2 linked regions of the Mus musculus genome follow. The protein of the gene in region 1 interacts with the protein of each later gene in a biochemical or structural test. Links are inferred from orthologs where the notes say so. Each region holds a gene or a part of one and is shown on either strand. Other genes may lie near its edges.

Region 1 (4,379 bases):
GTATCTCTCTATGTGTGCCTCTCTCTCTCTCTCTCTCTCTCTCTCTCTCTCTCTCTCTCTCTCGTGTATGTGTGCTGAATAATGTGGCAAGAGAGAAATCTCAGCAGTTTGAAGCTTACCCCATACATCCCCAGAGCCTTGACAAGTTTTACAAGTAGTAGTGAGAAAAGGAAGGCTGGGCTCAGTGGCTCAGTTGGTAAGGGTTCTCGCTATGCAAGCCCGTCCACCTGAGTTTAGCCCCTGGAACCTGTGATGAAAGGAGAAAACTGACTCCACAGAATGCTCCTCTCACTGCTACACCTGAGGCACGTCACATACTCACTCACACTCACCAACATGTACACACACACACAGAGAGAGAGAGAGAGAGAGAGAGAGAGAGAGAGTCTGAAAGGACTTCTCCAGATTGCTGCTTTGTCAGATGTTAAAACCCCAAACTCCCTAACTTGGCTCAACTACTTGTGCTCAGAGCCTGCAGGTGGGCTTTGTCTCTGCTCTCTGAATCCCACCCCTGCCCCACAGTTGATGACTCTTTTCTGTCTTCCTCACAAGCTGCCATCCACTAGCTTAGACCTTCACTGCCTCCTCGACCATCGCGCTGCAAGAATCTCCTCATTAGACTCGACGTCTCTCCTCTCCCTGTCTCAGTTCTTTCCACAAGAATTTCCCGGAAGCAAATACCTGATTGTGATAGACCCTTGTTCAAAAATCCCAACTATTTCCCAACTGTCTGGAAAACCAGATTCATGTGGGTCAAAGCTCAGTCTCTGGTGCCATGAAAGAATCCAAAGACAGGATCAACCTTTCTGCATACACTTCCTCCTCTAGGTGGACCCCCGCAAAGCTCCACAATCCCCACAGTGAAAAGGGGGCTTTGTTCTCCTCCATACCCCTAAGATGTTTTATTTGGAACTTACTTAAATTTAGCAATTTAATCATACCTTCATTCCTTCACCCACTAAGCATAGAGAATTTACTCTAAAGCCAGAGGGCTCTAGCTTGTATCATCGCTATAAAGAGACATCTCTCCTGCTACACTGAAACGCTTGCCAGCAGGGACAGAGTCTCTTTACTCTGTGCACTTCCCTTGGAAGCCCTAGACCCAGCAAACCACAGGTGCTCCAAATGATTGAAATGAATAGAGGAATTATCATACGTTTCCTTAAATAGTAAACTGCCGTAAGTGCATCCAAAATCAATTTCAATGATAGATGTAAAGCGCCATTCAATATCCTTTTTCTTTTTCTAGGCGGTTATTAACTATGCCAAGGGGATGCATTTATATACCTCACATGGTTCTGATTTTTTTCCCAACACCTACCAGCCCTGCTACTCCTACCCGGTAACACACCACACAAGCTCACACCACGGTGTAGCTTTTATAGTAGCAGCAGTTCCTGGCTCATCCAAATAGAAGAAGAAATTCATGGAGCTAGAACAACCACCCACAGCCAGGGGTGTGCTCTGAGAGATTTTATTCCGCCCTCACAAGCAGTCCTCCCACACCACACCTGCCAGCGTGTACCTACCTGGCTCCCACCCAGAAGGCACGGGCCAGAAAAAGCTGACCCAGTAGAAACAGTCGAGACCCTATCGCCCAAGCCTGGAGCAGAGATGAATGTGGGAGGTTCCTCCCCCCCCCCCCCCCCAAGAGAAGTGCTGTGAAGATTCAGGGGTGTGTCTGCAAGAGAAACTCACTTTCTTTGGTCACTCCACAACCACTTAACCTTCAGGAGCTTCATTGTGACTTGTCAAGCAAAACCCATGGAAGAGGCAAGCCCCAGCTCAGGCCTCCACAATGCCCAAATCTCCAGTATATGCCTGGACTCTGGAATGCCCCAGTGTCCGACTTTCCAGTGTTTGCCACCAGCACATGCCAGACCTGGTGTGACTCCAGGGTCCCTTATCAAGAGCTATGCAGAGAGCAGGGCTGCTGAAGGGCCGCTGGTAAACTTCTGTCCAGGGTCCTAGATGCTCCCCCCACCACAATTCAGTCTTGTGCTTCATTGGGAAAGGCGGGCAGGTGGTTTTTTTTTTGGGGGGGGGGACTTCAGGAAGAAATACTTTCCTACTGGAACATCCCTTATCTCCCTGGCAGATGACATTAAACCCCCAAAGATGCCCTTGCTCTTCATGCGGACTCTTTCTCGCGCCACTTAGTGGGCAGGGGGGTTAGCGAGAGATGAAGCGCGGGAGGATGGTCCTTAAAACAGTAACTGGCTAAGGTAGAGAGACAAACCAACACACTGGGATAAGGATTCTTGGCCCGATTTAGGCGTCCCAGGCAAGGCGCCTCCGGTTATCCCGCTGTCTCCATCTCGCTCCGCCCAACCTCTCTCCTCCACTGTGCCCCTCTTACCTCCCACTAGAAGGAAGAGGAGTTTGCGCCACCTAACGCGGGGACCCACTTGGGTGCCCTCACTCGCCTCTTTGCTTGAACTGGGATCCCCACACCCGATTGTCACTGAACTTTCTCCAGCGCACACCGTCTTGGGGTTATCGAGCTCAGCTACCCCGCTAGCCCACCCGAAGCCCCACCCCCGTCGCGGCTGCGGCGCCAGGTCTCTTCACCTGTTCGCGGATCGGCGGAGGCTCGAGCCGCTCCTGGAGCGTCCAGACTCAGGCGCCGCCCGGCGGTGCCGGCGCAGCTACCGCCGCCCCTGCCACCACCACCACCGGTGCTGTTGCCGCGCCTGCCGGGAGAAGCCGCGCCGCAGGGGTTTGCTGGTTGCCGCCGGAGGCGCGATCCCGAGCGTCTTGCGATCGGTGGGGCGCTTGGAGGGCGCCCGCCGCAGCCGCCCCGCCGCGTCCCACTGCCCGCCGCTAGTACGCACTGGCGCTGGGAGTGAGCTTCTCGCTGCGCAGCGCAGGGATGCTCCGAGCCTCCAGAATGGGCGGGGATTCCTTCCCTCTGCTGGATCCGAGGGGCGGGAACTACCTTCCCGGAGTGACAGGCCCAGGGGGCGGGGATTCCCCTGCAGGAATGACAAGGTGGGCGGGGATTCCCCCGAGCAAGCCCCTGAGCGGGGAGGACCGCTCTCCCAGGGAAACAGCAGTCCTAGTGCGCCGGCTTCCTGGGGATCCTGGGAGGAACCGATCCAGGGAGACTGCGGCTCAGAAACGCCATGTAGGCAGGGCTTGGGGCGCCATCTAGGTGGAAGAACTAGAGCTAGGAGGTTTAATTTCCTTTTGCATAGCACTTAACATAGCACATAGCGGAGAAAAATGTCAATTGCCTTATCAGAGATTGGGTGGGGAGGCCCAGGGAGACCGGAGAAAAGCCAACCATCCATCCACTGGCCTCTGGTCCTTAGGATACTTAATATAGTCTTGGTATGAGCATTCCTCGGGAGAGAGAACCTCTTTGCGTCTTAAGAACCTCAGAGCTGTTAATCCTTCAATTAAGCCGCTAGAGGAAATTCCATGGGCCCCAGGATGGAGGATTTGGACGTTGTGAACCTCCTTCTGAGTGAACCTCAAGAGCTAAGGCCAACTGCCCTTCGTTTTATTCCAGGTCACTGGGAAAACGGGAGCCTCTAGCTTTTTGGATGCTTCATCCCACAGATTTTCAGGAAGTCTTCAAATATTTTTGGTTCCCTTTTTTTTTTTTTTTTTTTTTTTGTCATCCTTGTCATTCTGCCTACCACAGGGAGAGGACGATAAGAACATAATAGGGAGACCGCACGGCTCTGCAAATTAAGCTCTCTTGAGAGGAAAAAGCTGGTCTTTTTCAAGTGCTGGCAGATAAGGGTAAAAACATAGGAAAAATTACAAACCTCGGGATCATGAGTTGGTGAATAATGCTTTTGACATTTTCTGCAGAACAGTAATTGGAAATCTTTTGCTTTGAGGGAGGTGAGGATACGTTGGAGCATGGCTAGGCTCTAGATTTGCCCAGCAAAGCATTAAGAGCTGCTCTCTTGGAAGAGCAGCTACGTCACCTGCAGCCCTCATGGAGTGTCCCTCAGCACCAGAGACCAGAGTAGACCCAAGGCGTTTCTAGATAGTATTTTCAGCAAGTGTTGGGGTTCTTGGATTCAGCTTTTCCTTGGCGTTTATAATTCCCAATCCACAGAGATCAATGTCTATACAAATCCAGGCCTGGGTATTATAAACGGCAGTCTTCACCGCCTGAAAGCTTCTCCTCCTGTCTATAGAGAAAACCCTTACCATGCAGAACGGAGCAGTGGATTGTTCTGTGTAGCGCTTAGGAGGTGTTCAATGAAATAGGCACCATTGCCTAGAAAGGTGTTATTAGGATGCCACTAAAAATCCTCCCACAATTATGCAGTGCTATCTGTTTGTTCAGCGATCCCAGGCTCAGCTGCCACCACCCCCTCCCAATCTCAGGAGCCATGAAGAGGCCACCTGTGTCTTTT
Region 2 (4,128 bases), about 17 Mb from region 1:
CAGCTTCGAAGGAGAACCTACACTGGAGAACAACTTTTGGGAGTGAGACTGAGCCTACTAGAGGTAGATGGAATGACTGACGGTGCACATTTCCCTGTTGTGAACAGTCATTACTCAATCTCTTGTCTGTTCCTTTACATATTTAGTCTGCTTAACTTTTCTTTCCACTTGCCTCAGCCTTTCACTAACTCCAGAGAATAATAGAGGCTATCTCAGATTTAATGCAAGCATTTTGACCTTGTTGGATAATCTCTTGCAAACTGAATAGAAATGTCCCTGAGATTACTGAAGCTGGAACCCCTCTTATTACAAGTTCGGGGTTCCTGGTCCATTTATCTGTGTCTCAGAAAATGGCTCTGGGAAAGAGTAGGGTGGGGTGGGCTGGCTTCAAAGTAAGGATCTTTGGTGGAATAATTATGGGACGTATTTGTCCTGCATGTGACTGACAGACTTTGCAGCCACACAGGGACATAGATGAAGGTCCTGAGGGCCTGCCTGCCTTGGAACTTGGCATGGGTTTCGTTTTCCAACAAGACTTTTCATAGTGTGACTTTGCTTGCTAGATTTAGCACTCTGTGTTGCCTAATGACTGACTAACTGAGAGACATTCGGAAATCTCAGTTGGAAATGGAGCAAGCTTCACAGACTCCACCGCGGTCAGTGGAGGAGGAGCAAAGTTTTCATTTTAGCACGGGACAATGGAAGAGAAGAGGAAAACAGTCGTGGAGGTGTCCAAGAAGACAACTGGGTGAGACGTGACAGGAAGACGAAGAGAATTCATTAAAGCTCTAGATCCAGCAAGGGTCTTCCTTGTAGGAAGTTTACTCATATTCCAGATTTTAAAACCAGACTGAGTTTGCATAAAGCATAATCAGAGCAGGAGGTGGTGGAGATGGGGCCCCAACACTACGAAAGAACCTTTCACAGACGTCATGCGTTCTTTGCTTTGGAACCCTAGAATCTACAAGAACATCCACCCCCATCCACTAGCTTTCATGGCTGGCCCGGTGCTCTCCTTAACTCACAAGCTACTCTAAAACCCCTCAATCGCTGCCCCTTTGCAGACCAACATCTGCCCCGCAGAATCAACTCTCCGCGTAGGCTCTATCTCGGGTGCTGTCTGTTCCCGGGGATGCGCGGCCCTCTCCCAACCTGAGCCGCCTCCTCCCATCTCTGCTGCTGTTGCTGCCGCCGCGAAAACCAGAAGTGGAATTCGCGTGGCGAGGCGCCGCGCTCTCTCGGCGGCACTGGGCATGCTCCGCACCCGGGGCAGGTTTCGGTGGTGGGGCGGACGCTCGCTCGCTCACTAGCCAAGCGCCGGAGCCGGCCGCCGCGGCTGAGCCGGAGGCTGAGCTGCGGCGCGCGGCGGGAGGAGCCTCGCTCTCGGCGGCGGCGGCGGCGGCGGCGACACAGGTGGCGCGGGCGGCGCGCAGGGCGCAGCTCGAGAGCGCTCGGCGCCGGGCGCCAGGGCGGCCCAGGCTCGCGCCCGCGGCGGCAACCGGCCGAGCGGAGCGGCGGGCGCGGCGGCTCGGTAGCCCGGCCCGAGCCCGGGGAGCCCCGCGGAACCCTGAGCATCCCGCGGCGCCCGCCGAGTCGGGCAGGGGGCGCTACGCTCGCCGCGCTCGGAGGGGCGGCCGGGCCGGGCGCTGCGCACTCGCGTCGGGAGCCGCCTCTCGCCTGCCGCGCTCGCCCCTGCTCCCCGCCAGCATCACTTGTCCCGCGGCCGCGCTCCGACAACAAAAGCGGAGGATGCTGCAGCTGGGCAAGGTCAGGACCTTGCTCTGAAGCCGGGCGGCGGCGCGCACGCCTTTCCCCCGACTGAGGAGCTGTCTTTGGCGGCGGGTGCATGTTCGCCAGGAAGCAGTCGGGCGCCGCGCCGTTCGGTGAGTTGCCTTAGCTGAGCTGCTGGAGCCGGGCGCATCCTCCGGGCGTCGTCCTCTTGCTCACCGCCGGTGGGGGTTGGTCCTCCGCTTCCAGCGGGGCTAGGGGTGGCGGCGGGCGGCAGTGGGGTGCTGTCTGCCCCGGGGGAGGACCGCGATCCTACCGGCTCCCCTCTTGGAAGGCGGCTCTCCCCGCAACGGGGTCCGGGGTCAGTGTCTTTCTTGGAGCGGTTACCAAGTGGCTTCTCCGCGTGCTCCCCTCCCTGCCACCCCTCTACCTCGGAGGACGCGTATATAGGGCAACACCGACTGCTCCCCGCCACCCTCCAGAGCAACCCGGTTGCATTCATGACGTCCCTAATATACCGGAGAAGACGGGGTGGGGGCGGGGAAGACTTCCTTCCAGTCTTTTGCCCTTATGTTCAATGTCATTACGATGTTTGGCTAGAACAAAATGGAAAGACTTAGTCATATGCGTCCATGGCCGTTTCTTCAGTCTCCCGCTGCTCGCCAGACCCAGACCCCTTTGGTCTATATTTAGCGTTTCCGAGGAAGCATTTTCAGAGGGATTCACAGGCTTCCGGGGGCTTCTCTGTCCTGACAATAGATAGCGAGGCTCTGGAAAGCGCTGCCTGACAGCCAGGTTTGGCAAGGGTGCTTGTGCATGGGAGATAGGCGTAGCGATATTTGGGTGATTCGTAATTAATGGCTGAAAGCAAAGCTGCGTTTCGCTCCCCCCTTCCTCTTCTTCTTGTGTGTAATGTGTTTTCATCGATTGATACTCAGCATGTTGAGCCACTCTGTTCAGAGTAAAGTCTCTAGGAAGGAGGTGCAACCTCCTCGGTCGGAGGGTGGGGGTCGGAAAACAGACTTGGGGGCTTAGAGGGATGTGCATCTCTGTATTTTCCACAAGGAGCCACTTATTTCTCAAATACCCAAAGTTGCGTTTTCACTGTAAACACCGGGGTAATGAAGGGTGTGGAAGAAGAGGATAATAGAGGGGGAGGCTGTGCTTGCAAGGGGTTTGTATTTCCCTCATTTGAACTGATCTGCTGTGCTTCAACTCTGCAAGGCTGTATACGTATGCATGCCTAATGTTCTCTAAGAGATATGTTGGCTTAGAAAAGAGATATGTAATGAGCAAAAATCAGGCCCGATAAGCATGACGGACAGTTCACTTTTAGGAACTGTGTGACTGATATTTAAGACGCCGAGAATTTTCTGCATTGACTTCCATGAAAATGGGGAGGTGTTGCCCCTGCCCATGAGTTACCTCATTTTGCACACTTCCACTGGTGGTAGTTCAGTTGATGTGCCCGCTGGTGAGCATGTATCAACATAATTGGAAGGCTCCCCAGCCCCGCTACTAAAATCCAGTGGAAGATTGTTTGATATGACTCCTTTTGGATTGCCAACGTAGAACAGTGCATGATTTGGGGGATCTGATATATGGGAGGTATGGCCAATAGAGGCAAGAATCCTCGTGTATGGAATAGCTGCTTTCAACAGCCAGATGCCTCTTCCTTTAGTGATTCTCTGTGCCAAGCAGAATCCATTGTTAATGTTGAATAGTATCCGTACTGGTCTGTGGGTTACAAGGTCCAAAGCTTGAATGAAGATGGGCTATGCTTGGAATTAGTTGTTGGAATATAGAAGGACTGTAATTTTACTAATAACAAGCGAGCGTGGGAAAAGCACCGCCGGAGGCTACTCTGCTTGGCTTAAGGGAACGCTGCGATTCCTTTGCCAACACTGCTGTAGTTTCACCTTTATTCACATTCAGGCAACTTTACAGGAGCGCTTTGAGCACACTCTTGGAGCCCTTGCATTATATCAATGTAAAATTTCTTTCAGAAGCATGCCTTAGATGAAGGAGGTGTACTTTCCCCTTTCCTTTCCTTTCCTTTCCTTTCCTTTCCTTTCCTTTCCTTTCCTTTCCTTTCCTTTCCTTTCCTTTCCTTTCCTTTCCTTGAGTCTAGTGTTTCAGTTTTAACCATGATTCTTACAGACGAGTTGACAACACTGTGTGCCTGTGTGTGCCTCCAGAGAGCAGCTGCTGGGCGTGAGAAAAACTCCATGGCTTCTGCATGAGACTTTTATGCTATATTGTGGGTTGAAAATGATAGTACCTGACTGAATGGCAGTTTTAGCAAGTGCATGAGGTTGGTGCTCTAATGAAATTGTCCTAGTCTTGTGCAAAGGGGTTATTTAACTGTGTGTGTGTGTGTGTGTGTGTGTGTGTGCACTT

The links. The genes of interacting proteins can lie anywhere in the genome.
Region 2: the proteins of Pdzd2 (region 1) and Ctnnd2 form a complex in vitro, tested with the Homo sapiens proteins (2 studies listed by BioGRID and IntAct, with this or other methods). The link is inferred for Mus musculus from reciprocal best matches to the Homo sapiens genes PDZD2 and CTNND2.

What each region holds. Positions count from the first base shown.
Region 1 is NC_000081.6:12,737,046-12,741,424, forward strand, and holds the start of Pdzd2 (PDZ domain-containing protein 2), read right to left. Parts: upstream 2,848-4,379; 5' UTR 2,572-2,847; intron 1-2,571.
Region 2 is NC_000081.6:30,171,281-30,175,408, forward strand, and holds the start of Ctnnd2 (catenin delta-2), read left to right. Parts: upstream 1-1,253; 5' UTR 1,254-1,846; coding exon 1,847-1,883; intron 1,884-1,889; exon of another isoform or gene 1,890-2,523; intron 2,524-4,128. UniProt on the Homo sapiens protein: Has a critical role in neuronal development, particularly in the formation and/or maintenance of dendritic spines and synapses. Involved in the regulation of Wnt signaling.